Macaca fascicularis: one gene and its partners. The protein of the gene in region 2 purifies or fractionates together with the protein of the main gene of each other region. This does not show direct contact. Links are inferred from orthologs where the notes say so. Each region holds a gene or a part of one and is shown on either strand. Other genes may lie near its edges.

Region 1 (9,553 bases), on a different chromosome or scaffold from region 2:
TTAACAATGTGATCTATTTTCCGTATATACAGGTAAGTTTTTTTCTTTTTTGAGATGGAGTTTCGTTCTTGTTGCCCAGGCTGGAATGCAATGGCACGATCGGCTCACTGCAACTTCTGCCTCCCAGGTTCAAGCTATTCTCCTGCCTCAGCCTCCCAAGTAGCTGGGATTACAGGCATGCGCCACCACACCAGGCTAGTTTTGTATTTTTAGTAGAGATGGGGTTTCTCCATGTTGGTCAGGCTGGTCTCAAACTCTCGACCTCAGGTGATCCGCCCGCCTTGGCCTCCCAAAGTGCTGGGATTGTAAGTATCAGTCACTGCACCCAACCAGTTTTTTCTTTAATGATTGTATAGAGATAACAGTACTATAATAAATAACAGCTAAATATTAGAAACATCAGCATAAACTAAACAGATAATTTCTGACGATCTATAACTTTTTCTAGTTGGCATTGTTTGATTGCCCAAGAGTACTTAGTGGAAGGCTGCTGTTCCAAAGTAAAACAGTGTTTCAATGATATGAAAAGGTATATAGATTTTCAATGATATGAAAATTAAATTATTTCATAATAAAAGTGATTCATAAAAGTTGATTAGGCCGGGCGCGGTGGCTCAAGCCTGTAATCCCAGCACTTTGGGAGGCCGAGACGGGCGGATCACGAGGTCAGGAGATCGAGACCATCCCGGTTAACCCCGTGAAACCCCGTCTCTACTAAAAAATACAAAAAACTAGCCGGGCGAGGTGGCGGGCGCCTGTAGTCCCAGCTACTCGGGAGGCTGAGGCAGGAGAATGGCGTAAACCTGGGAGGCGGAGCTTGCAGTGAGCTGAGATCCGGCCACTGCACTCCAGCCTGGGCGACAGAGCCAGACTTAGTCTTTAAAAAAAAAAAAAAAAAAAAAAAGTTGATTAGGCCAGGCATGGTGGGCTCTTGCCTGTAATCCCAGCACTTTGGGAAGCTGAGGTGGGCAGATCCCTTGAGTCCAGGAGCTCTAGACCAGCCTGGGCAATGTGGTGAAACCATCTCTACAAAGAATACAAAAAAATTAGCTGGATGTGCTGGTGCATGCCTGTGGTCCCAGCTATTTGAGAGGTTGAGGTGGGAGGATCACCTGAGCCTGGGATGCGGAGGTTGCAGTGACAGTGAGCCAAGATCGTGCCACTGCACTGCAGCCTTAGTGACAGAGTGAAACCCTGTCTAAAATGCACATGCCTGTAATTTCAGCTACTTGGGAGGCTGAGGCAGAAGAATTGCTTGAACCCGGGAGGCAGAGGTTGCAGTGAGCAAGATCGCACCAATACACTCCAGCCTGGGCAACAAGAGTGAAACTCTGTCTCAAAAAAAAAAAAAGAAAAAAAAAGTTGATTAATGATTTCTCTCACCTTTTATCAGCTTAAAAAAAACCTAAAGGCTATTTATGTAACCCAGTACTCTGTAATCTGAGGGCAAATACTTATCCTGAGATTTATCTGTGAAATAAATCACATAGTTTGTAAAGTTACTTTCAACTCTAAAATCCCATGACTATTTGTATTTTACTAGGTACATGCTACTTGATTTCTTTGCATTGAAGCTATCTACATCAGGAAGGATGCATAGTGAATAAACATGCCTTAGTCCCACTGACAAGCAGAAAAGAAACACACACATACATACTTTAGGAATATATATTTTTAAAGGATTCAATAATCTTTTTAAAGCTAAATCAAAGCATGGCTACAGGAGGAGAGGAAATATCCAAATTGTAATCAACGCAGATTATTTACTTAAGGCCTTCCATTTGTACCTGTATACATACTATATCACAGCACAAAAGCATACCCTACCCCATCTGGCTCTCTTAAGGTACATGATAAATCAGATTAATGCACATTCATCAAGCGGCATCATCTCAGGATATCTGTATCTTTGACATGGGTATGAATTCAGGGTTTCCTTGGGTCTCTTTCAAGGACTCTCTCTTCAGTATTTCTATTTCCTCATTTTCCTTCTATTTATGAAGAACTGTTATTTTTACATTTAATGCCCACTTTTCACCACTTGTTCATGTCAGTTCTCTGAAATGTTACTGCCTATGAACCATGACGTACTGTTTATAACAGAAGCAGAAGTTAAAAGATGTAGACATCACACAAACCAATGGTTATTTTAAAAATAGAAAACAATGATAAAAATTCAGTTGCCAACTTAAGAGGATTTTATATATTATGAAGTGTTCTATTTTCCTCCCACGGTCTGAAATTTATTTCTCAAGAAAACAGATTTTATTTCTAAGCCTTTACTGTCTTTGCTAGAAACAGAAAAACCAGTTTTCTCTTTGGCAAAATTGTCCCAGGAAAACAACACAAATGCTTTTCCAAATTAGAGCATAAGTCTTCCTTAAATGTCCTAGTGTGACAATTGGGATACAACAGCCATCTTTTAAATGTCATAAAGGCTATTGTTAAGATGGTGGTTTTGGCCGTTTTGCAGATGGTCCATCGAAGTTAGTTCTGTTATCAATGTTATTTTCATCTTCGGCATCATCTTCATCATCACCTTTTAAAATAAATATTTGTTGTATGACAATACGTTCTATGGTTGAAAGAAATATATATAGCTAAAGTGGTTGATAACGAGACCATTTCACTTTAGAGATTAATAAAACCATGCACATTTTAGATTAAAATGATTTTGAGAATTTCAGTGTTTAAAATCTTTATTTTCTATCACTTTCCTCTTTGGAAATATTAACTCATTCATCATAAAATCCAGTCTCTTTTTTTTTTTGAGATGGAGTCTTTCTCTGTTACCAGGCTGGAGTGTAGTGGCGCGATCTCAGCTTACTGCAACCTCTGCCTCCAGGGTTCAAGTGATTCCCGTCTCAGCCTCCCAAGTAGCTGGGATTACAGGCACGCGCTACCATGCCCGGCTAATTTTTTGTATTTTAGTAGAGACAGCGTTTCACCATGTTGGCCAAGATGGTCTCGATCTCCCGACCTCGTGATCTGCATGCCTTGGCCTCCCAAACTGCTGGGATTACAGGCATGAACCACTGTAGCCGGCCAAAATCCACTTTTAAAAGTGTACCGCTTAGTGGTTTTTAGTATATTCACTAGATTGTGCAACCATCACCACTCTCTAATCCTAGAACACTTTCATCACTCCAAAGAGAAATGAATTATGCCCATTAGCAGTCACTTTCCCTCAGCCTTCGGCAACCACTAATCTACTTTTGTTCCCCCTTAATTTTTATTAGTGAGAGGGTCTTGCTATGTTGCCCAGGCTAGACTCAAACTCCCAGGTTCAAGTGATCCTCCTGTGTCAGCCTCTAGAGTAGCTGGGACTACAGGTGCCCACCACTGCACCCAGCTCACTAATCTCTCTCTATGGATTTGCCTATTCTGTACATTCATATAAACAAAATCATATAACATGTACCCTTCTGTGTCTGGCTCTCACTGTAGCATAATGTTTTCAAGGTTCATTCATGTTGTAGCACGTATTAATACTTCATTACCTTTTATTGCTAATAATATTCCATTGTATGGATACACCACATTTTGTTAATGCACTCATCAGTTGATGGATATTTGCATTATTTCTATTTTTTAAAATTATCATTATTTTTAGAGATGAAGCGATGGGGCCTCACTCTGTCCTCCAGGCTGGAGTGCAGTGGAACAATCAGCCCACTGCAGCTTCAAACTCTTGGGTTCACGTGATCCTCCCACCTCCTAAAGGTGCAACACCAAGCCCGGTCAATTGTTGTTTCCACATTTTAGTCACTATAAATGCTGCTGCTATGAACATTCATGTGTAAGTTTTTGTGTGAACATACTTTCCAGTTCTCTTGCGAGGACTACCAGTGGAACTGCTGGGTCATGTGGTAACTTCATATCAACTTTTTGAGGAGCTACCAAACTCTTTTTCCCAGTGGTTACACTGTTTTACATTTCCACCAACAATGTACAAGATCTCCAATTTCTCCACATTCCAGCCAACACTTGTTATTGTTCTTTTTGATCATAGCCAACATCCATATTATCAAGATGTAATTCCCAAGATGGAAGGAAAGTACAGTTTAAGCTCTTCTTAGAGAATTGTAAATCCTAACTCTAATATCTATTCTTGGATTTTTCAGCTCAGGACAGTTAAAATGTACCTGCCTGGCCAGGTGCAGCAGCTCAGGCTTGTAATTCCAGCACTTTGGGAGGCCAAGGCAGGTGGATCACGAGGTTAGGAGTTCGAGACCAGCCCGGCCAACACAGTGAAACCCTGTCTCTACTGAAAATACAAAAACTAGCTGGGAGTGGTGGCGGGCGCCTGTAATCTCAGCTACTTGGGAGGCTGAGACAGGAGAATCACTTGAACCCGGGAAGCAGAGGTTGCAGTGAGCCGAGATTGTGCCACTGCACTCCAGCCTGGGCAACAGAGCTAGACTCCATTTCAAAAAAAAAAAAAGTACCTGCCTATTTCTGCATTCGAGGCAATTTTTAAAAAATAATGCAGTTAAACTTCACGTTTCTACTTTCAAACTGCACCTACAAAACTGGAAAGGCAAGGGAGTCTCTAGGAGTTAATACATGTTAAAATTAAGTCTGTCCCACTCCTTGGAACCTGTTCCTACTCTGCGATAGATTGTACTCTTCCAAATATGTCTGTAGTTTCACACCTGATAAAACTCCTTTTTATTCAATACTCCAGCTCAAAAGTCTTATCCTCTTTGAAGCCTTCCGAGGGTCTCTGGGTTTGCAACACTTACAGAGGGCCATAGAACCACGTTCTTTTTTTTTTTTTTTTGAGACGGAGTCTCGCTCTGTAGTCCAGGCTGGAGTGCAGTGGCACGATCTCGGCTCACTGCAACTTCCGCCTCCCGGGGTCAAGCGATTCTTCTGCCTCAGCCTCCCCAGTAGCTGGGATTACAGGTGCCCGCCACCACTCCCAGCTAATTTTTGTATTTTTAGTAGAGACAGGGTTTCACCATATTGGCCAGGCTGGTCTCGAACTCCTGACCTCGTGATCCGCTCGCCTCAGCCTCCCAAAGTGCTGGGATTACAGGCGTGAGCTACCAGCCTGGCCACTTTCACTTTTAATAAGAGTGTCTGCCTGTATAATCCCCTTGTGTTTCACAAGGGCAGGAACTGAGTCGCATTGACCTCATTCTTCCTCCAGGGCTCAGCTCAGGGTTTGGCAAATAGTAGTAGGCATTCGGCAAGTTTTTTAGTGAAATAAATGAAATAGCGATGAGTCGTGGAAATGTTTGAGTAGAAGCAGCCCAAATATAGTGATAAATGCCAACAATTTTTATTTTTTAAATTATCTTTGAAATAACAATGGAAACGGGGTCTCGATATGTTGCCCTGGCTGTTCTGGAACTCCTGACCTCAAGTGATCCTCCTGCCTCGCCCTCCCAAAGTGTTGGGATTACAGGAGTGAGCCCCACTTCGCCTGGCCCGCCAAAAATTTTTAGATGCAATTCTTCTTTCCTCGAGGCTCACTTTGTCCAAGTCTGCCACTCTACACGGGCTCCCCAAGCCAATTTCCCCTGGCTCCCGCCCCGTCCTCCTGTCGCTGCAGCACCGTCTCAGAGCTCACCGTCCAGGGCCTCGTCTGGAGCCGCCGCCACCCGGTGCTGCACTTCCGCCTGTACCAGGGGGCCGAATAATTCCGTTACCAGCTCCTTCATCTGGGCCACGCCAGACAATAGGCCCTGGAAAGGGTCGCCGTCACCCGGCGCCTCACAGGACACCCGCAGCTTCTGCGGCTTCCCTTCCTGCCCGACATACTCTCCCAGCAGCTCCATGGTGACCACTAAGCTTCCAGAACACGACACCGGGAAGCGCCACCCGGAGGCGGAAATCAGCCCGTGGCCTGCGCAGGCGGCAGAAGGGAGAGGAGTGACATCCGTTTGTCGGAAGTCGCTCCTCCCCCTTCCTTCGCCTTTTTTCCTTGTCATTGGTTCCTGGCACTCGGGCCCCGCCTCCTCCGGCTACGCCCCTCGTGGCCGCTTTTCCCGCCTCCGCCGGGGCCGAGCCGCGGTTCGGGTGACAGTTGAGGATGGCCGGAGCCGAGGGCTCCGCTGGGCGGCAGTCGGAGCTGGAGCCCGTGGTATCGTTGGTCGACGTCCTCGAGGAGGACGAGGAGCTGGAGAATGAGGCGTGTGCTGTCCTGGGCGGCAGCGACTCCGAGAAGTGCTCCTACTCGCAGGTGGGCACGCGGCCCGGGCCTTGTCTCCCGCGGCTCCCGCCGAACCTCCCCTTCCCGGCCCGGCTGTCCCTATTCCCGCCTGCCGCAGTCGTCTCCCCAGTGGTGGTCCGGGGCCGCCGTTAGTCTGCCGCTTCCTTACCCCAAGCCCACCCTTCCCTTTTATCCCCAACCTCCTGGGCCCCCTTCAGCCTGTGTCCAGCAGGGGCCCCCATCTCCCCTCTCTCTAACTCTGTCCGGCCAGCCAGGAAGGACCCTGGAGCAGCTGCTCTGTCCGTCCTCTCCAGCCTCGTCCTGGTGCACCACTGCTTTTCACGAAACCAGCCCGCGACCTCTCAGATCCAGACATCTTTGTCCCTGCTTTTCCCATCCTAAGATTATTTATTTATTTATTAGGGACCAAATGGGAGACGTCAGGTTAAAGAGATTTTCAAATCCATAGGGATTTGCGGTGAGCTCCTTGACAGCTAGTTCCTCTGCAATTTAGTTTGACAAGTGCTAGCTAGTACTTTTTCTTTCTTTTTTTGGCAAAATGGAGCAAGTACCCATGTCTGTCTGCAGTCTGCCCTCCTCCCCTGGAAATAGACCGGAAACAGAACAGCAAGTGGCTCTGGCAGGGGAGGGGAGAGAGGAGAAAAGGATCTATTTGGCATTTGGAAGACGTTGTGAGTGAGCAAGTGTTTGAGGGGGTGTGATGTGTTTAGTGACTCACCCTATACTTCGAGGCACAAAAATGGAAAAGGATGGGTAGGAAGAAGACTGACAAAGGATAAGAACTGGCAGGAAGAAGGGTTACCGAGGCAGAGGGGTGGATTGGAACACTGGGGAGATGAGAGGAGAGACTTGCATTCATTATGTGGTATGAACTGAGGTCATAATACCAGTTCTCGTTGTTGACCAAGTTTAGTTTACACTGCAAAGTGCTAGATTGTTGAATAAACCTGGTATCCAGACATAGCCCCAGGTACTTTAAAACCTTTGGTCACCACTAAAACAATTTTTCGCCTGCTTTCCTTAAAAAAAAAAAAAAAAGTTCTAAGTCTGTATGTAAACTATTTTTGAAGTGTAGTTACCTTTATAAAATGGATTCCCTTAATGTTTTCTTTTTATTGTGGTAAAAAAAAAATATGGAAATTTGCACAAATCATGTACACAGCTTGAAAGGAAAGTGTGCATGTTCCCACCACCCAGATCAACAAATAGAACATTAGGAGTGCAAAAGGCTTATTGGAAAAGAACTTAAAAAAAAAGAGAAAAGAAAGAAATAGAATTTTACTGGCATCCCGGAAGCCTCCTTGTCTATTCTTCCTCCTTCCTAGAGGAAGGTAACTATACCTATTATACATATTCACTTTTTTTTTTTTTTTTTGAGATGGAATTTCACTCTTGCCACCCAGGCTGGAGTGCAATGTCATGATCTTGGCTCACCGCAACCTCCACCTCCCGGGTTCAAGCGATTCTCCTGTCTCAGCCTCCCGAGTAGCTGGGATTACAGATGCCCGCCACCACGGCCAGCTAATTTTTATATTTTTAGTAGATGGGGTTTTTTAGAGATGGGGTTTCACCACGCTGACCAGGCTGGTCTTGAACTCGTGACCTGAGGTGATCTGCCCACCTTGGCCTCCCAAAGGGCTGGGATTACAGGCGTGAGCACTGCACCCAGCCTACATATTCACTTTTTAACATTTTGTCACATTTATCTCCTTTTCTACTTAAAATTTGTTGTTTTAAAATTTTGAACTATTTAAAAATAAGTTGCAGACATGATGACACTATACCTCTAAATACTTCAGCATGCATCTCCTAAAAATCAAAGAGATTCTTTGCATGTGTTGATTCTCTCTTTGGTGGATTTACAAACATTTTCCAGGATGAAAGTGTGATATTACTTACATAAACCTATACATATGCTCCTGTGTTTTCACCTGTTAAAATGATTAAACAGATTCATTTATTCACAGCCGACTGACAAATTCAGACATCCTATCACTTTAAGAAAGGAGTGCTGACTTGTGTCATGGCTAATGCTTGTAATCCCAGAACTTTGGAAGGCCAAGGCAGAGAACTGCTTGAGCCCAGGAGTTTGAGACAAGCCTGGGCAACATAGCAAGACCTCGTCTCTGCAAAAAATAAATAAATTAGGAAGAAAGAAAAAAGTGCTTGCATGAAAAGCACTAGTATAAAAATGAAACATGCAACACAACTGTGTTTTGGTTGATGCTCTGCTGTGTAAACTTTTTAGTCTTAATGGTTTTTACAGAAAGATCTTGACCACAGATAATCTGATTTTAATTATTTTTCAGTTCCTAGTGTGGGTATTAGGTAAGCCATGCTATTACATTAATTCTCTTTTCCATTTTGGGGGCTTTTAGGGCTCAGTAAAGAGGCAAGCACTATATGCCTGTAGTACCTGCACCCCAGAGGGAGAAGAACCAGCAGGAATTTGTTTAGCTTGCAGTTATGAATGTCATGGAAGTCACAAACTATTTGAGCTATACACAAAAAGGTAAACATAGTCAGAGATTGTTACTAAATGCTTTTGAAGTGTAGATTCTGTCCCATCTACACTTTTTCCTTATCATGTTTTTTCATGCAAAGCTGTTGTACAGTAGTGAAATTTCATGTAATTATTTTATATAATTGGAGTTTCCAGAGCCTTTAAAAACATAATATGGTACAAACTCAAACTACTCATCTTTCTCTACCATCATTTTACTTGTGTGTGTTTGTGTGTATGTGATATAAATATTTGCTTCTGTACATATTAATTTCCAGAATTGTGAAGTCTTATGTGCTTGAATGCTTGAAGAAATTTTAAATTGGATTTTGTAAAAAGAAAAATAAAATTGTTATTTCCTCCTTTTTTCAGAAATTTTCGTTGTGATTGTGGAAACAGCAAGTTTAAAACTTTGGAATGCAAATTACTTCCTGTAAGTAAACACTGTAACTATAAATGCAGTTAGAGCAGCTGGGGTTAATATTTGCCAGAGGGGGTAAAAAACAAATACCTATATTTTCCAAAAAAGAAGTTCTTATGCTTATTCTTTGCAGATGGCCATTTAATTTTTTACTTTGTTGGAAAAACTATATAAACTGTTGAGAGCCTACAAGATAGATGGTAATTAATATGAAAGGTTTGGGGAAGAGATGTACTTGAAAGTAATTCAGGTTTAATTATATTGGTTGTACTTATTCTCTGAGGCTTTTAAAGCAAAGGATATGACTTAAAAACAATAAACAGGGTCAGGAGATCGAGACCATCCTGGCCAACACGGTGAAACCCTGTCTCTACTAAAAATACAAAAATTAGCTGGGCATGGTGGCACCCAGTTACCTACTCGGTCAGCTACTTGGGAGGCTGAGGCA
Region 2 (9,850 bases):
GATCCAGCAACCCATTTTTCCAGGACCCCTCTTGTAATAGTTTAATTTCTTTCAACTATTAAATTTCTGCTCTTCAACTCACTCTTTGTGGGTCCATGTCCTTGATCTCCATGACCATGAGACAACGAACCTCGGGTGTTCCCCCAGACAAGGCTGCTTCTCCACTGCGTTCCCTGCCTCGGTGGCTGCCAGGTCCTGTGCCAAGCAGTTGGAGCATGCTCGCCACGGCTTCCACCCTGGCTACTGTTTTCACTGGCCCAGCTGGTTTTGGTCGCCTTCTCACTTCCAGGTTTCTTGCTTCCACTCTTGCCGTCTATGGTTTTCTGCCAGCAACCAATGCAACTCTTTCAAAACAATCAGGTGTCACCCTGTTAAAAATCCTGAGTCCCATTAAGAACAAAACCCAACCTTGTAACAGGGCCCTGCAGGATCTGGCCCTGCCTCTCCCATCGCATGTTCTGCTCCTCCTCCTTGCTCACTGATGCCAGCCACACTGGCCTTGCTGTCGGGGATGTTCCTTCCTCACCAACTTCGCACGCCACAGCCTGCCTGGGATATACTCCCTTCATCTCCCGTGTTTCTGGTTTTCCTTCACCTCTTCACTCATCACTGTCTGAAACTGCCTTATTTTACGTTCCCCAGGAAAGTAAACTTCATGTTCCCCTCTATTAGATCTCCAGTGCCTGGCACATAGTGAGTACTAGTGTATTACTCACGCTGCTAATAAAGACATACCCGAGACCGGGTAATTTATAAAGGAGAAGTTTAATTACTCACAGTTGAGCATGGCTGGGGATGCCTCGGGAAACTTACAATCATGGCGGATGGGGAAACAAACACATCATTCTTCACATGGCAGCAGGAAGTGCCAAAAAGAGGGAAAAGCCCCTTATAAAACCATCAGATCTCATGAGAACTCACTCACTATCACGAGAACTGCATGGAGGTAGCCGCCCCCAGGATTAAATTACCTCCCACTAGGTCTCTCCCGTGTCACGTGGGGGTTACAGGAACAATTCAAGATAAGATTTGGGTGGGAACACAGTCAAACCATATCAACTAGGGCTTTGTTGATTTAATGCACATAAGCCAACCATACCCCACAAAGTAGGTACTAGCCTTATAGTACATGTGAGGAAACTGAGGAATGAGGCATCTCATTCATGTTGGGAATATTAATTGAAAAACTTGTCAGCTCCTGTGGTCCTTGGAGTTCCTTGAAAATAATGTTATATGCCAATACTTCTTATAGTACTGTGAAGACGCACCATATCCCATATCTCTTTTGTCAGTGGAAAGAACACAGATTTGGAGCCAAGTAAAAGTACCTTTGGCTACCTGTGACGTCTAGGACAAGTTCCCACCTTTTGGTGCCAGTTTCTCCATCTATAAAATGGGGACAACGCTTAACTTAAGAGTTATTTTAGATCCAATATAAAAATTCCCAGCCCAATGCCTGACATGCAGTAAACAGGCAATGATACTGTTTTTCCTCTCTACGAGTCACAACTACCCAGGAAGGGAGTTTTCACCATTCCTGGCCATCCACCCCATGCTGGACACTGGGGGAGTGCTGACTGTGATGAACGAAACAAACAGGGTACTGGTCCTACTATTACAGAATGTTTGCTTCATAAGAACAGGCACTGACTGTATCATCTCTCAACACAACGGAATGAAGCTAGGAATGAGTAACAAAAGAAAAACTGGAACATTCACAAATGTGTGGAAATTAACAGATTTCTAAACAATCAAGTGGTCAAAAAAGAAATCACAAGGGAAATTAGAAAATACTTCGAGATTAATGAAAACAAAAACACAAAATACCAAAACTGAGAGTGTGTGATGAAAAGTGTGCAGAGAGAAATTCATAGCTGTAAATGTCTATATTAAGAAACAAGAAAGTAACTATGTGAGGTGATGGGTGTTAATTAGCTCGGGTGTAGTCATCATTTCATAATGTGTATCAAAACATCACACTACTTTATAATTTTTTATAAAAATAAATTTTCTTACAAAAGAACAGGCGCTATGTCTGTCTGGCTCACCATTGTACCCAACACCCAACAGGGTGCCAAGGAACATAAAAGGTACTCAAAATATGTTTGTTGATTGGAGTTTACAAGGAAGAAAGGTATTTTATTATACATCCGTTCCCTTCCCACCCACACACAGCTTCTTCTAAGAAAAGAAATTGAGGCTGGGCAAGGTTAAAAGCTAGCTCCTGGTACCTTTGCATCCACACTCAGCTTATCTGTACCTTAAACCAGACTTCATCAAACTTCAGTCTTCACAAGTCACTTCATCATTTTTGCTCTACCTACTCATTGCCTGTGACAGAAATCAACTCAGTTTGCTTACCTGTATAAACTTAAAAGGAACTTTATATCAATCACTTGTCTTAGAAGGTAACCACAAAAATACAAAACAATAAAAATAAAAACAATGTTAACATGAATTTCAGTTGCCTGAAAGCTGTAAGTCTGCTTTTTTAAAAGAGAAATTGGAGTTAAGCAGATTTTTCATTTTTTGATCATGACCCTGAAAGAGAAATATATTTGACATCAAAACTCAGTACATATCCTTGTCTACATATACATGTGAAAGTTTCATAAAACAATACATTGATATTTTCTATGCTGCAATTCTATTTCATTTTAAAAAATGCTGGTTGTATCCCATTAAACTGGTTTCAAAATAAATATATCATGTACACAACAAAAAAAACACTGGGTTAGAGGGCCAGTAAGCTCAGTGAGCATCACTGAGACTTCATCCTTGTCTCACAAGGACTAAAAAGAGAGTAACATTCTCATTATGTGGTTCAATGCCACACCCATATAACTGAGACATACATGTCACAATCTGGGAGAAGCCTGTCCTAGATTTAAATACCCAGTTCTGCCTAGAACATGACTCAGACACATAATAAGCTCTTGAGTAGAGTGAAGTGCAGATGATAATGACACCACAGGCACGATCACACACCACTTAAAAATATCTTAACACCTTTACTTAGATCTCATCTCATACTTTTAGTATTTCTTCAAATTTACTTTGAAAAAAGAGCTTCACTGTGTGTGGCTGTCATACACATTTTCCTACCCAACCATGGTCCTCTTTCTTCCTCTCAGGCGCACTTCATCTAATTTTTTTAGCACTGGCCTGGCCTTTTTGGAGGAGGTGGAGTAGCTCTTCAAAAAGGCTTCAAATACAGTTTCAGTGTTGGGATGGGTACTGAGGAAGGCCTTCTCCAGGACATAGAGGTCTACTCCCTTATCCTCTGGAAGTGCCGAAATGAAGCTCAGCCCAAAGTCTATGAGGACAATGTTCAGCTGTTCCAGGGGGGGTTTCAGGAGCATGTTGGAGGTGGTGAGATCACCATGAATGAGGTCTTCATCGTGCATTCGAGCCAAAACCTGCCCAATTGTCTTGGCTAAGTTGGAGAGACTTTGGGGAGTTTTTTCAGTCTCCATAGTAGACTGAATATAATCTCGAACAGTCACTGAGCCTTCAATTTCTTCCATATATAAGCAGTTGGAAGCATAGTCCACAAAAAAGACAACTGGGGCAGATATTCCTGAAATCAAGACATAAGTGGTTATTGGGTTGGATTTTTTTTTAATGGATAAACTTAATTTTCAAAGATTAAGCCAGTTTTTCCATCTATATCTACTTATTTCAGGATGATTTAGGAATGCTACAGGGAATGGTACAACTGAATGGAATATTCCCCTGCTCCTGCCCCCTGCAGGACTATACCTGGGACCACCCCACAGCTAAACTGAGGAGGCCATAGCTTCCTCCTCCCTTCCAAACCACCCTTTCTCACTGAACTTCATTTGTCACACTCACTCTCTAAAAAACAAACAAAACAAAGGCTGGGTGTGGTGGCTCATGCCTGTAATCCCAGCACTTTGGGAGGCCGAGGCAGGCGGATCACTAGAGGTCAGAAGTTCGAGACCAGCCTGGCCAACAGGGTGAAACCCCATCTCTACTAAAAATACAAAAATTAGCAGAGCGTGGTGGTATGCACCCGTAGTCCCAGCTACTCGGGAGGCTGAGGCAGGAGAATAGCTCAAACTCAGGGGGTAGAGGTTGCAGTAAGCCGAGATTGCGCCACTGCAGCACTCCAGCCTGGGTGACAAAGTGAGACACTGTCTCAAAATACAAAAACAAACAGCAAGGCACAGCCCAGTCAGAGCAGTTTCTACTGATGAGGACACAAACAGGAGGCCAAGCAGTGTGCTGGCTTCGAGGTTCATCTTCACAGTCAGAGAGGACAGGGTTCAAATCCCAGCTCCTTTTCTTATTAGTTGTCTAATCTAATCTTAAAATTACATTAACTTCTCGGCCAAGGCAGGTGGATCACGAGGTCAGGAGATCGAGACCATGCTGGCTAACATGGTGAAACCCCGTCTCTACCAAAAATACAAAATATTAGCCAGGCGTGGTGGCAGGCGCCTATAGTTCCAGCTATTCTGGAGGCTGAGGCAGGAGAATGGCGTGAACCCTGGAGGTGGAGCTTGCAGTGAGCCGAGATTGGCCACTGCACTACAGCCTGGGGGACAGAGCGAGACTCCGTCTCAAAAAAAAAAAAAAAATTACATTAACTTCTCTAAGTCTCAGTTTCTGCTACAATAAACTCAAATGAATTTTTACTGAAAGTCAACCAGGCTCAGTATACTTTTCTAGAAACTGAGAGATGTATCAATGGGGATACAGCAATAAACAAGCCAGCTATAATACAATCTCTGCTTAACGAAACATATCATAAGAGGCTGAAAACAGAAATATGAACACACAAATAAGTTCGTGAAATCTTCAGTCTCTGAAAGGGCAGCAATGTGTCTGCTTGTTGGCTACTGAATGTCCCCCCTTGCTAGATCTCCCAGCACTTAACAATGTCCTGGCACCCACAAGTACCTAAAAAATACTAATAAAAGAAAGGCACGAAGCGTAAAATTAAAAAGCCAGTACTTCTGAGTCAGAGGCATACGGAGCTGAGGGCCTGGACCGGCCACTTAGTAGCCGTGTAACCTTGGGCAAGTTACTTCTCTCTGAGTGTCACTTTCTCAACTGAGGACAAGGTTTATGGCGCTGGCGCACAATAAATAGGCAATTTAATGAAATCCAACACTTACTGAGCACTATGTGCCAGGCACACATTCGAACATAATACACTGCACACAGACCTCCTCTAATGGTCACAACATCCCTATGACATGGATATTGCTACTATGTCTCCCATTTTACAGGTGAAAAAACCGAAGGTGAGAGGCTAAATAACTTGTTGAAAGGCTACATAAGCAGCAGAGTTAGTATTTCAACCCAGACAGCCTGGCTCCAGTGGGGCAAGTACTTGTAATTACATGTTTCTTAAAACTAATAAATGAAAAGATAATGATCGAAAATTGAAACGAGTCAAATGGGGAAATCAAGGCTCAGGGAAGTTAAAGATGTTCGACGTTGAGCAATAATGACAGCGTCCAGATTTGAACCTGGCAGAACGGCCCCAGGACAAACGCTTGACGCTGCAAGGCCACGTGGTTTCTTAAGACTTAACGAATGAAGAAAGGGATGAAAGAATAACATTTCCGAAAGGCTGGCCACGGCAGAAGGCACAGAAGGAGAAACTGAGGCAAACCGTGGCTCGGAGCGCAGGAGAGTCCCTCACCCGCCCAGGCCCTAGAGCCTCGGGGCCGCCCACGCCAGGATCCGGGCCCTCCTTACCCGCGCGGCGGCAGCGGAGGAGAGCTCGCGCTTCCTGCACCGTCCGCCGCCGGCCAAGCCGCGCCTCCAGCGCCGGGTGCCGGTAGCCCTTGGGGAAGCGGTGCTTTATCACCGCCGCGCGGCCCTGGAAGCGGCCGCGGAACACGCGCGCCTCGGCGCCCTGCTTCACCAGCTCCAGGCCTCTCAAGAAGCGGCTGCTTCGCTCCCGGGCCGCGGCCAGAGCCTCAGCCTCTGGCGCGGGCTCCTCGCCATCGTCCGGGGCAGCAGGTCTGGCCGCCGCCATGACTGTGCTCGGCGGTACAGCTCCGACCGACCCGCTCTCTCTGAAAACTGTCGCGATGCTTCGGCTCGCTTCGGAAATCCTGGTACTTCTTCGGTTACCCGAACGCTTCCGCCCCGGACACTTCCGGCCTGTGAGTGGTTACGCCTCCCAACCTTTCGGCTCTCTGAAGCCTTGGGTTCCCTGCAGGAAGGGCTCCTGTGGCCCCGCCTTTCACCTCTTCGGCTATCTCCGTACACGTTCGGCAACTCTCGGTAAGTGGCTCTTCCCTACTCCTTGGCTCTCCGGAAATCTTCGGTGATTCCCGCAACCGGTTTTGGGAGATCACCTCCCAGTTGGTCGTCTCTTTCCGGAGAACTTCAGCTCCTCTCGAGAAAAACGTCGGACGCTCTTTGCTCACTTAAGGAGTCTCCTCCTGGACAGGTGCACCCTCTAGTAGTGTCTTTTTGGAACACCTCTTCCCCTGACTCCTAAATTCCCCCCAGAATGTACTCATACTAGTCAGTGTCGGAAGGGTCAGACAATGAACCGTGTTTCCGACATCCTCTTAAGTGCTAGGATAACTACCATTTAGTGCATTCAGAAGAAATAAGATTAAATGATGAAAATCCTTACAGAAAAGAAAATTGAGACTCAGAGAGGGCAGTGGGGGTGGTGGGATGGGGCGGGGAGTGGGGGCTGGGGAATCCAGGAAAGTTTTCCGGAGACAGAACCTAAACTGAATTGGGAGGAATTAAACTTTTTCAGTTTCTACCTGTTTCATTACAAAGCTAATAACACAGGCTGTAGCAAATTCTTACAATACGGAACTTTGCGCGCACACACACATATAAATAAACTGCCCATCCTCCTTGTGACACCGCTGGCCGTTAGTTTCTTTCCAGAACTTTCTTTTATTCAGTGCGCACACTCACACATCATTGTGGCCTTTTTTCCAACATAAATGACATCATACTGTGGGTTCTTTTGCAACTTGCATTTCATTTTCCTAAACAATTTATCTCGGACTATATTCCATATCAGTACATACAGAACTACCACATCCTTCTACTTGGTCAGGCAGTTTCTTGTTGCTAAGCAGTTGTTTCCAGTTTGTTGTTTTTCAGAAAAACACTTTACTTACTATTGCCAGTTTATTATAAAAGATAGTATAAAAGATAAAAAATGAACAGCCAGATGAAGAGGTACATAAGGGAAATTAAAAATTGTACGTATTTATCATGAGCAACATGTTTTGAAATATGTGTACATTGTGGAGTGGCTAAATCCAGCTAGTTAATGTTACCTAACATACTCATCATTTTGGGGATGAGGACACTTAAAATCTATTATCTTAGCACATTTTTCAAGAATACAACACATTGTTATATCTATAGTCACCATGTTGTGCAATAGATTTCATGAATGTTTCCTCCTAACTGAAATTTTGTGTCCTTTGACTAACATCTCAAAATCCTCCCAATCTCCCTCCTCCTGCCCCAGCGCCTGGTAACCACCATTCTACTCTGCTTGCATGAGTTCAACTTTTCTTACCTTCCTCATACAAATGAGATCATGGGATATTTGTCTTTCTGTGCCTGGCTTATTTCATTTAACACAATGTCCTCCAGTTCCATCCATATTGCTGTAAATGACAGCATTCCATTCTTTTTAAAGGCTGAGTAGTAGTATTCCATTATGTATATAAATGTACCATATTTGTATCCATTCATTTATTGATGGACACTTAGACTGAGAATTGCGAATGATGCTGCAATTAACATGGGAGTGCAGACATCTCTTCAATATACTGATTTTGTTTCCTTTGGATATGTACCCAGTAGTAGGGTTGCTGGATCATAAGGTAGTTCTATTTTTAATTTTTTGAAGAACCTCCATACTGTTTTCCATAATGTCTGTACTAATTTACATTCCTATTAACAGGGTGCAAGGATTCCCTTTTCTCCACGTCCTTGCCAACACTTTTTATCTTTCTTATGTTTTATCATAGCCATTCTAACAGGTCAGAGGTGATATCTCATTGTGGGTTTAATTTGCATTTCTCTGATGATTAGTGATGTTGAGCATTTTTAAAATATACCCGTCGTCCATTTTTATGTCTTCTTTTGGGAAATATTTCTTTTGATCTTTTGCCCACTTTTAATTCAGGTTTTGTCCTTTCTTACTATTGGATTGGATTCCTTATATATTTGGATATTAACCCCTTATCAGATGTATGGTTTGCAAACATTTTCTCCCTTTCAGTAGTTTGTCTTTTCACTCTTTTTTCTTTTTTCTTGACTGGTCAGAAGCATTTTAGTTTGATGCAATTCCATTTGTCTATTTTCACTTTTGCTGCCTGTGTTTTGAGGGTCATACACAAAAAATCATTGCTCAGACCAATGCCATGGCATTTTGTCCCTGTTTTCTTATAAGAGTTTTATGGTTTTGGCTGTTACATTAGACTAAAGTCTAATCCATTTTGAGTTGATTTTTGCATATGATATAAGATAAGGGTCTAATTTCTTTCACATGAATATCCAGTTGTCCCAACACCATTTATAGAAAAGACTGTCCTTTCTCCATTATGTGTTCTTGGCATTTTTGATGAAAATCAATTGACTATAAGTGTGTGGATTTATTTCTGGGCTCTGTATTCTGTTCCATTGGTCTATGTGCCTGTTTTTATGCTGGTGGCATGCTGTTTTGATTCCTATAATTTTGTAGTATATTTTGAAGTCAGGTAATGTGATGCCTCCAGCTTTGTTCTTTTTGCTCAAGATGGCTTTGACTATATGGAGTCTATTCTGATTCTATATAAATTCTAGAATTTTTTACTTCTACAAGAAATGTCATTGGAATGTTGATAGGAATTACATGGAATCTGTAGGACATTTTAACAACGTTACTCCTCCAGTTTTGTTTCTTTTTTTTTTTTTTTGTCTCATAAACAGTGCTGCAGGAGCAGGCTTATCCAAGTGATATCACTGGGTTGTAGGTGACAAGCACTTTGAAACTCAACACCTCAGCCAAACTACCCTCCCAAAGTTTTGTGCCTATTTATGCTTCAGTCAAACTCATGTCTCATTTTCTCATATCTTCATCTTCACTGAGTTTTTCAGGTGCTGGAAAGCTCAGTCAGAGGGTGGAGTGGGAGGGTGCTCAGGTTCCAGGCAGCGAGAACAGACACAGGGTACAGTTGGGTTGGACAAGAACCAGCAGCTCCACATGGCTGGAGCAAGTTGGCACTGGGGACAGGCAGGGAGCTGAAAGAACAAGGACAGTGGCCTGGTCCCAGAGGATTTTTCTTGCTGGAAGAGAGGTGCTGTGAGCCTGGGGTGACTGCACCAAGCATGGCCCTTTGAGGCCTTGACCTCTGGCTGCCAAATATGCAGCTGAGCTCTGGGTAGAACAGCCAAGCAGTAAAGGGGAGGGAGGCTTCTACTTTTTAGCCCTTTCTGAGCCTGAAAGAGAATCTATGGCCTCTTCCTCACTTCCCACCCATCAGCACCAGATGCCCATTCATTCATTTATTCACTAATTCATTTAGTAAATATTTATTGAGTAACTACTATAGGCCAGGCACTGTGCTAGGCCCTGAGGACAGAGCTGTAAAGAAAATAGAGAATCATTATTAGTGCCTCCATGGAGTTTATTTTCTAGTGGGTAGAAACTGACAATAAACACATAAGGAAAATGTGTCGTTGACAGGGGCTAGCAGGAGATAAATCAAGTGGGGAAGGGGGATGGGAAAGATGACCTGCATCTGGGCTTGCCAGGGACAGCCCTAGTTTTTACCTGTTACCCTGGAATAACTATCATTAGTGCCCCTGCCTTTTTTTTTTTTGAGATGGAATC
Region 3 (9,776 bases), on a different chromosome or scaffold from region 2:
CGTCGTCGACGAGTGACAGGTCCCGAGGGAGGCGATTGCAAGCGCACGCCGTTCGGGACTACTGGGGCAACTCTGCGCTGAAGCCCTCCAACAGGCGCGCGGGGGCAGACAGAACGTTCCAGACGGCCCAGGGGGACCCGGTCCAGGCCCAGCCTGCCCTAGCTGCCCTACAACGGGCGGAGGTGGCACTTACTGCGGAGATTGTGGATTAGCTCCGAGTGGCTGGCGCCGCCGGATTTCCAGGCCATCGCTAAGCACACTCGGAGCAGGTACAGAACCACCTTCAGCGCGGCGACGGTGCCCAGCAGTTTTCCCAAGAGTGAGACCACCTCCCACACCGTCACCGCCCCGCTCGCGTCCCCGCTGTAGCTGCCGCTGTTACTGCCGTCGCCGCTGCTGCCGCCACTGCGCGCTCCCGGCATCCCCCGCGGCACGCATGCGCTCTGTGACGCCGCGCGGCCTAGGGTGCGGCCGGGTGGGGCCGAGGGCGGGGGAAGCGTGTGGCCCAGCTGCCCGCGCGTGTGGCTGCTGTGGCTGCTGCGGCTGCCAGGGGGACTGCAGGGAGGCCAGGCTGAGTCAGCGCCACCGCCGCTGCTGCGTGTCCCTTTCTGAGGCCTCGAACCGCACCGACTTCGCCCTGCGGCCGGGCTCCGTAGCCTGATCAGTCGCGTTCCCGGCTGCGTCTCCGGTCACCGAGCGGGACGGCGGGATGGCGGGGTCGATCTTTGCAGACGCTCCTTGTGGTTCCGCAGTCGCTGCTGGGTCAGCTGTTTCGAGCGGCGGATCTCCTCCTATAGATGTCCAGATTGTTAGACGGTGGGCTTCATCCGTTCCTACCTCGCCCAACCCAGTTGACTGGTATTTGGGTCTGTGGAGCCCGAATAACACAATAAGAATAAAACCCAACGACAAAGGCCCTCTCTAACCCGAGTACACCGGCCTCTGGCTTTGTGACAAACATGTCACCGTTAGGCTAAGCAAAGACTTTGGAACCCTGGTTCTAAAGCTGTCAGGGAGTGGAAGAATACCAGGACATGGGGGTGGGGGTTGGGGCAAAGCTTTGCTCCCTTAGAATAATACGAACGTAAAGAATTGCGATTGGTTAAAAAATACCACTGTGTCCGCTGGTGAACGTGTTATTCTCCCGACAAAAGTGTGCATTTCCACCTAATTAAGCCTCACAAATTCCACCATAGCTTTATTGCTATCAGCTCTGCAAGACCATGAGTGAGAAGCTCACTGAGAACATTGCTTGTCGCGTCCAAATCGCTGACTCGTAATTTGACCTGAGACTGACAGAATCCAGCCATCACTTAGTCCAGTAATCTTTTTTTTTTTCTTTCTTTTTTTTTTTTTTTGAGACAGAGTCTCGCTCTGTCGCCCAGGCTGGAGTGCAGTGGCGCGATCTCGGCTCACTGCAAGCTCCGCCTCCCGGGTTCAGCCTCCTGAGTAGCTGAGACTACAGGCGCCCGCCACCACGCCCGGCTAATTTTTTGTATTTTTAGTAGAGACGGGGTTTCACCGTGTTAGCCAGGATGGTCTCGATCTCCTGACCTCGGGATCTGCCCTCGTCCGCCTCCCCAAGTGCTGGGATTACAGGCGTAAGCCATTGCGCCCGGCCTCCAGTAATCTGTTGGAAGGAAACAAGGCTAAGACATCTGTGCTACTATGTCAGCACAATTTTCAAATTCTAGTTCTTACCCGATTTTGTAAAATGTGACACTGGCCTGTTTCCCATCCAAAATCGTCACTACCTATTTTCTGGGATTCTGTGACCATAAATGAAACTACTGACAAAACTGGGTTTTTTGTTTTTGTTTTTGTTTTTTGAGACGGAGTCTCGCTCAGTAGCCCAGGCTGGAATGCAGTGGCACGATCTTGGCTCACTGCAACCTCCGCCTCCCAGGTCCGCGTTCAAGGAATTCTGCCGCAGCCTCCCGGGTAGCTGGAATTACAGGCACGACCACCATGCCCAGCTAATTTTTTTGTATTTTTAGTAGTAGAGTTTCACCATGTTGGCCAGGCTGGTCTTGAACTCCTGACCTCGTGATCTGCCTGCCTCGATCTCCCAAAGTGCTGGAATTACAGGCATGAGCCACCGTGCCCAGCCAAAACAGTGTTCTTTACTTCAATATTAAACATGAATAAATTGTTGATTTGGGACTGTAACCCACTTAATATTTTCCATTTCATCTTTTCTACAGTTTCTTGATGATCTTCCATTTGGTGAAAAGAAAAAAGTCAAATCCTTGATAGGAACCTGATAACTCTAAAGCTGAGCCAGACGGATTGCATTTACATGCAGTGCTTCCCTAAACTGTCCCTGTGAAGTAGGACTACCAATATCACATAAAAACAACAATAGCATAATGGCCCTTTTTAAAGAAACAACCAACATACAGTTATGAATACCTGTAGTATTAAAGAGGTTCATTTTTTAGATAAGTCATACCTCTTGTATTCAGTAGGATTTACATTCTTTTTTTATTCTTTTTTTTTTGAGACGGAGTCTAATTCTGTCGCCCAGGCTAGAGTGCAGTGGCTGGATCTCAGCTCACTGCAAGCTCCGCCTCCCGGGTTCACGCCATTCTCCTGCCTCAGCCTCCCGAGTAGCTGGGACTACAGGCGCCCGCCACCTCGCCCGGCTAGTTTTTTGTATTTTTTTAGTAGAGACGGAGTTTCACCGGGTTAGCCAGGATGGTCTCCATCTCCTGACCTCATGATCCGCCCGTCTCGGCCTCCCAAAATGCTGGGATTACAGGCTTGAGCCACCGCGCCCGGCCGGATTTACATTCTAATTAGGGAGGAATATGCATCTTAAGAAAACTAACGATAGAATATATCCAAAATATATGTAATAGTGGCCTAGATATCAAATGCAAGCTCACGCCTGTAATCCCAGCACTTTGGGAGGACAAGGCAGGCGGATCACCTGAGGTCAGGAGTTCGAGACCAGCCTGGCCAATATGGTAAAATCCCGTCTCTACCAAAAAAAAAAAAAAATAGCCAGGCATGGTGACACGCACCTGTAGTCCCAGCTACCCTGGAAGCTGAGGTGAGAGAATCACTTTAATCTGGGAGGCGGAGGTTGCAGTGAGCTGAGATTGTGCCACTGCACTTCAACCTGGGCCACAGAGTGAGACCCTGTCTTCAAAAAGAAAAAAAGCGATGTTGATTTAGATCAACATTGGCTGGGGGCATCAGGAAATGGTTAAGGAAAGAACAGATCCTTGAAGGATAGGCAGGATTCTGAGGAGTAAAGAGGAAGGGAAGAATATTATAGGTGTAACCAAAAGCACAGAAGGAACCTAGAAAACTGATTCCTGGGCTATTGACAATAGATATCACAAACCTCATTCTTAATCATGCACATAATTAAATTGACCAAAGCTAGGCAATTGGCATCAAAACTAAAACTGGAGTCTTTCAGAATTCTAACTCCAGGCTCTGACAGTGTGTATTAACTTTCAAGCAAAGTATTTGTTTGGGGGACAAGAGGGAGAGGTTTAGGATAGTAGGTTGGCACTGTATTCGAGGTACTTCCATGAGTATTTAAGGATTTTTGAATTGTTTTCTATGCGCAGTGACCTGCAACTGCTTAGGTGTGGTTTCAAGGTGGTTTCTACTGTATTGATTTTGTTCTATTTTTGCTCTTAAATTTTACACTGCACAATTATTGAACACAAGAAAATACTGATATTTTAGATTAGGAGCAAGTCCTACTGCTCAAAGGCCAAAGCGCTCTTGCCTTTGCTCAGAGTCGCTCTAGGAGATGGGCCTCTCGGTCTAGGTTCTCCCAGTTTGTATACTGACCGTGCCCACACTGGCTACCGAAGAGAATTGACTCTCTGCAGCCACCGTCTCCCTCCTAAAGTCCCATCCAATCAGGGTTCCGCGGGAAGAGGCGGGGCTGAGAGGCGCGCGTTGTGCTTGCTTTTTGCAGTGCCTGCTGCGGCTGCTTTCGGCATGGAGGAAATTTATGCGAAGTTTGTGTCTCAGAAAATCAGCAAAACCCGCTGGCGACCGCTGCCTCCCGGAAGTTTGCAAACCGCGGAGACGTTTGCTACCGGATCTTGGGACAATGAGGTATCCCTGCTGATAGGGACGAGCCCCTGCCTCTTCCCTCCCTCCGGTTGAGCTGACCCCTGGCCGCGCGCGCGCCAACTCCCACCTTCTGGTTTTTCTCGCACTTCTAGGTCCCTCGGACCCTGTCTCAGGCGCGGTTGCGCCATAGCTCAGAACCCGTGATGGTGTGCCTGAGCCTCATATCTCGTTACGTTTTAAACTCACCATACTATTTGTCTGAGATGTTTTGGAGCAAGCTTTCTGGACGGAAGCGCAACTTTTATTTTCCGATAGTTGACGTTTATGTCATCTCAAGACAAAACTCTTTGTTTTACAGGAAAATTATGTTTCACTGTGGTCTATTGGAGATTTTGGAAACTTGGACTCTGATGGAGGGTTTGAAGGAGACCATCAATTATTGTGTGATATCAGACACCATGGTGATGTCATGGATTTACAGGTAAATCTGTGTAGCATCCAAAAGCTAACTTTGAAAGTCCTGAGTAATACATTTAAACAAGCAGAGCATCATAAAGGTTGTCTTGTATCACCCCTCATTTACAAAAAACTGAGTGCTCTGTAAGTTATGATTTGGCCGACATCATTTAGCCATTTAGTGGCAGAAAAAGGACTGGGAAAGGGGATGTAGATTTAATCATACTTTTTTATTTATTGACCGTCGACTATGTGCTAAGTACCGTTTGGGGAGCTTTACAAAAATTAATTATTATTGGTTGCCGGTATATCAAGTATTGTTACTTTGTTTTACTAATGAGAAAATTGAGACTAACATATCTTAAGCATGTACTATGTGACAGATACTGTGCAGGGGGATTAACATCATTTTGTTTTTTGAATTCTCATGACAACTCCCTAAGCAGAGATTAGTGCTCCCGTTTTAAAGATTTACCACGATTTAGTGAACTTAACTTGGCCAAAGTCTCAAAACCAGTAGTGAGTGGTGGGGATGAAATTGAGCTTTCTTTTTTTCTTTTTTTTTTTTTTTGAGGTGAAGTCTCACTCTGTCTCCCCGGCTGGAGTACAGTGGCATGATCTCGGCTCACTACAGCCTCCACTTCCCGGATTCAAGCGATTCTCCTGCCTCAGCCTCCCAGGTAGCTGGGACTACAGGCACAGGCCACCACACCCGGCTAATTGTTTGTATTTTTAGTAGAGACGGGGTTTCACCATATTAACCAGGATGGTCTTGAACTCCTGATCTCGGCCTCCCAAAGTGCTGGGATTGCAGGAGTGAGCCACTGTGCCTGGCCGAAATTAAGTTTTCAAATCCTGGTGTGGAGAGCCCCTGCATTTTATTCTATAGAAAGCTACCTAGCCCTGGTGTACGCCTGTAATCCTAGCTACTCGGGAAGCTGAGGCAGGAGAATTGCTTGAACCTGGGCGCAGAGGTTACAGTAAGCTGAGTGCACGCCAGTCTGGGCAACAAGAGCGAAACACTGTCCCAAAAAAAAAAAAGAAAGAAAAAGAGACAGAGAGAAGAAAGAGAAGAAAGCTATCTAGCCCTAGGAAAGATCTTTTTTTTTTTTTTTTTTTGAGACGGAGTCTCACACTGTCACCTGAGCTGGAGTGCAGTGGCACGATCTCAGCTCACTGCAACCTCTGCCTCCTGGGTTCATGCAGTTCTTCTGCCTCAGCGTTGAGTAACTGGGACAACAGGCATATGCCTCCATGCCTGGCTAATTTTTGTGTTTTTAGTAGAGATGGGGTTTCACTATGTTGGCCAGGCTGGTCTTGAACTCCTGACCTCGTGGTTCACCCGGCTTGGCCTCCTGAAGTGCTAGGATTACAGGCGTGAGCCACCATGCCAGGACAATATTTTTCCTTTCTTTTTTTCTTTTTTTTTTTTTTTGAGATGGAGTCTTGCTCTGTCGCCCAAGCTGGAGTGGTGCAGTGGCACTATCTCGGCTCACTGCAACCCTGCCTTCTGGGTTCAAGCGATTCTTCTGCCTCAGCCTGCTGAGTAGCTGGGAGTACAGGCACCTGCCACCACGCCCAGCTAATTTTTGTGTTTTTAGTAGAGACGGGGTTTCAACATATTGGCCAGGCTGGTCTCAAACTCCTGGCCTCGTGATCTGCCTGCTTCAGCCTCCCAAAGTGCTGGGATTACAGGCATGAGCCACCGCGCCTGGCTTTTCTTTTTAAAAATTTTTATTCTGTTTTTGAAACTGAGTCTTGCTCTGTCAACCAGGCCGGAATGCAGGGGCTCGATCTTGGCTCGCTGCAAGCTCCGCTTCCCCACAACCCCGACTCATTTTTGTATTTTCGTAGAGACGAGGTCTCGCCACATTGCCCAGGGTGGTCTTGAACTCCTGAACTCAAGCGATCTGTCCGCCTAGGCCTCTCAAAGTGCTGGGATTACAGGCGTGAGCCACCGCACCCAGCCAGGAATGGTATTTTTCTAACGTTTTATTGTGTTGGTCTCAAATTAAATCAATGGCGGGTAAATGTGTCTAGGAAAAAAATACTGTTTATTCATGAAAATGCTTTGTATGGCAGTTTGGACTTTCAGCTCCATTAACACATGTTATTTGCTTAGCACTCATAGGCTCTTTGCTTTTTAAAATTGTTATCATTTGCTACTAATTGAGTTAAATAAATGAATAGATTTCCTCCCTGCTAGTATTTCTGAGTCTTTAACAAGCAGAAATTTTCTCTTTAGTTTTTTGACCAGGAAAGAATTGTCACTGCTTCATCAACAGGATGTGTAACAGTTTTCCTTCACCATCCGAATAACCAGGTAAAGAACTTCAGTTTGAAAAGTGATTTTTTTTTTTTTTTGGAGATGGAGTTCTGCTCTTTTTGCCCAGGCACTGGAGTGCAATGGCACAATCTCGGCTCATCACAAGCTCCGCCTTCCAGCTTCAAGTGATTCTCCTGCCTCAGCCTCCCAAGTAGCTGGGATTACAGGCATGTGACACCATGCCCGGCTAATTTTATATTTTTCGTAGAGACGGGGTTTCTCCATGTTGGTCAGGCTGATCTCGAACTCCTGACCTCAGGTGATCAGCCCTCTTCACCCTCCCAAAGTGCTGGGATTATAGGCATAAGCCACTGCTCCCGGCCAAAGGTAACGTTTCTAATAGACATGCCTAGTAAATATAAGACCCAGTTCGTGTTAAAGGTTTTTTGAGTCATTTAGAAAAAGCTACAGAGATTAATATTTTTTTAATTAATTAATTTATTTATTTTGAGACAGAGTCTCTCTCTGTCGCCCAGGCTGGAGTGCAGTGGCACGATCTCTGCTCACTGCAGCCTGCACCTCCCTGGTTCAAGCAATTCTCCCACCTTAGCTTCCCAAGTAGCTGGGATTACAGGTGTGTGCCACCATACCTGGCTAATTTTTGTATTTTTAGTAGAGATGGGATTTCACCATATTGACCAGGCTGGTCTCGAACTCCTGACCTCAGATGATCTGCCTGCCTTGGCCTCCCAAAGTGCTAGGATTACAGGCATGAGCCACAGCCATGGGCCAGAGATTTATATTTTAGATGTAGGTTAATTTCCATAAGAATACAAAGAGTTGCTTTTGAACATCCAACTGCTTGATCCCTAAAAGTCATTACTGTAGTTTGAGATAAATGTGGGGCATTATTAAACAGTATTTCTTTTGAATCTAATTCTATGTATACAGAACTTTGATGCAAGTAGTTTCTAGATTTCATTATTCTAAAGGAAAAAAGATTTATTCTTGTAGAAGGATGTGAGTCAGAATTTAAAGATACTCTTGTTGGTAAGAAGTGCTAGTTCCTTAGTACTTTTCTTTAATAGTATCCTCATTTCTGATGCCTAGACTCTGTCAGTCAACCAGCAGTGGACTACAGCTCACTACCACGCAGGCCCTGGCAGTCCTTCCTATAGCAGTGCACCATGTACAGGTGTTGTGTGCAATAACCCAGAAATCGTTACAGTTGGAGAGGATGGTCGAATAAATCTCTTCAGAGCTGATCACAAGGAAGCTGTAAGAACCATAGGTAAGAAAAATCCCAGCCTGGCCAACATGGCAAAACCTTGTCTCTATTAAAAATACAAAAGTTAGGCTGGGTGTGGTGGCTCACCCTGGCAATCGCAGCACTTTGGGAGGCGGATCACCTGAGGTTGGGAGTCCAAGACCAGCCTGACCAACATGGAGAAACACTCTCTCTATTAAAAATACAAAATTAGCCGGGAATGGTGGCACATGCCTGTAATCCCAGCTACTTGGGAGGCTGAGGCAGGAGAATCACTTGAACCCGGGAGGCAGAGGTTGCAGTGAGCAGATTGTGACATTGCACTCCAGCCTGGGCAATAAGAGTGAAACTCTGTCTCAAAAAAAAAAAAAAAGAAAAGAAAAGTGAGCCAGGCATGGTGGCGCATGCTTGTAATCCCAGCTACTCAGGAGGCTGAGGCGGGAGAATCACTTGAACCTGAGAGGCGGAGGTTGCGGTGAGCTGTGATGGCACTCTACTCCCACCTGGGTGACAGAGGGAGACTCCATCTCAAAAAAAGAAAAATCATTGTATTCCTTTCATTCATCACAGAGTAATTGAGTGCTTACCATATACTAAGTAAACACTGCCAGGCATGATGGCTCATGCCTGTTACCCCAGCACTTTGGGAGGCCAAGGCAGGCGGATCACAAGGTCGAGAGATTGTGATCATCCTGGCCAACATCGTGAAAGTCTGTCTCTACTAAACATAACAAAAATTAGCTGGGTGTGGTGGCATGCGCCTGTAGTCCCAGCTACTCAGGAGGCTGAGGCAGAAGAAGCGCTTGAACCTGGGAGGTAGAGGTTGCAGTGAGCCAAGATTACACCACTGCACGCTAGCCTGGCGACGAAGCAAGACTCCATCTCAAAAATAAAAGTAAACACAATGAGCCGGGCGCGGTGGCTCACGCCTGTAATCACAATACTTTGGGAGGCCGAGGCGGGCGGATCACAAGATCAGGAGATTGAGACTATCCTGGCTAACATGATGAAACCCCGTCTCTACTAAAAATACAAAAAATTAGCCTGGCATAGTGTCGACAGTTGTCTGTAGTCCCAGCTACTCTGGAGGCTGAGGCAGGAGAATGGCATGAACCTAGGAGGCAGAGCTTGCAGTGAATCGAGATCGCACCACTGCACTCCAGCCTGGGCGACAGAGCGAGACCCCGTCTCAAAAAAAAAAGTAAACACAATGTTAAGTGATTGAGGGATATAAAAATATATGGCTGGTAGCAGTGGCTCATGCCTATAATCCCAGCACATTAGGAAACCAAGGCAAGCAGATCATTTGAGGCCAAGAGTTTGAGACCAGCCTGGCCAACATGGCAAAACCCTGTCTCTACTGAAAGTACAAACATTAGCTGGGCATGGTGGCACACGCCTGTAATCCCAGCTGCTTGGGAGGCTAAGTCATGAGAATTACTTGAACGTGAGAGACTGAGAGGCTGCATTGAGCCAAGATCACGCCACTGCACTCCAGCCTGGGTGACAGAGCAAGACTCAGTCTCAAAAAAATACATGTACACATGCACACACATGCACGCACGGCAGGATCCCTTTGTCAAGAGAGTAGGTTGATGAGGCCAGTACGAATGACTGACTAGAAGAAACAGAAACCATTTTTTTTTTTTTTTTGGCGAGAGGGCATTATCAGATAAAGCATCTGGGAGTAGGTAGTAATTAATAGTTTTTCTGGGTTCTAGACCATAAGTAAGACTGAAAGAT

What was found. Proteins that work in one complex are often made in the same cells at the same time.
Region 1: the proteins of TP53RK (region 2) and GON7 purify together in Homo sapiens (affinity purification with mass spectrometry; 5 studies listed by BioGRID and IntAct, counting the BioPlex papers as one, with this or other methods). This does not show direct contact. The link is inferred for Macaca fascicularis from reciprocal best matches to the Homo sapiens genes TP53RK and GON7.
Region 3: the proteins of TP53RK (region 2) and NUP43 purify together in Homo sapiens (affinity purification with mass spectrometry; 3 studies listed by BioGRID and IntAct, counting the BioPlex papers as one, with this or other methods). This does not show direct contact. The link is inferred for Macaca fascicularis from reciprocal best matches to the Homo sapiens genes TP53RK and NUP43.

The regions. Positions count from the first base shown.
Region 1 is NC_088381.1:161,203,347-161,212,899, forward strand, and holds GON7 (EKC/KEOPS complex subunit GON7), read right to left. Parts: upstream 5,845-9,553; 5' UTR 5,787-5,844; coding exon 5,579-5,786; intron 2,540-5,578; coding exon 2,445-2,539; 3' UTR 1,655-2,444; downstream 1-1,654. Other genes in the region: putative E3 ubiquitin-protein ligase UBR7, read left to right, coding at 6,041-6,190, 8,560-8,693, 9,057-9,117. UniProt on the Homo sapiens protein: Component of the EKC/KEOPS complex that is required for the formation of a threonylcarbamoyl group on adenosine at position 37 (t(6)A37) in tRNAs that read codons beginning with adenine.
Region 2 is NC_088384.1:102,738,075-102,747,924, forward strand, and holds TP53RK (EKC/KEOPS complex subunit TP53RK), read right to left. Parts: upstream 6,017-9,850; coding exon 5,734-6,016; exon of another isoform or gene 5,549-5,733; intron 3,581-5,548; coding exon 3,102-3,580; 3' UTR 747-3,101; downstream 1-746.
Region 3 is NC_088378.1:57,730,034-57,739,809, reverse strand, and holds the start of NUP43 (nucleoporin Nup43), read left to right. Parts: upstream 1-3,932; 5' UTR 3,933-3,966; coding exon 3,967-4,086; intron 4,087-4,402; coding exon 4,403-4,525; intron 4,526-6,745; coding exon 6,746-6,823; intron 6,824-7,876; coding exon 7,877-8,057; intron 8,058-9,776. Other genes in the region: PCMT1 (protein-L-isoaspartate(D-aspartate) O-methyltransferase), read right to left, coding at 194-422. UniProt on the Homo sapiens protein: Component of the Nup107-160 subcomplex of the nuclear pore complex (NPC). The Nup107-160 subcomplex is required for the assembly of a functional NPC.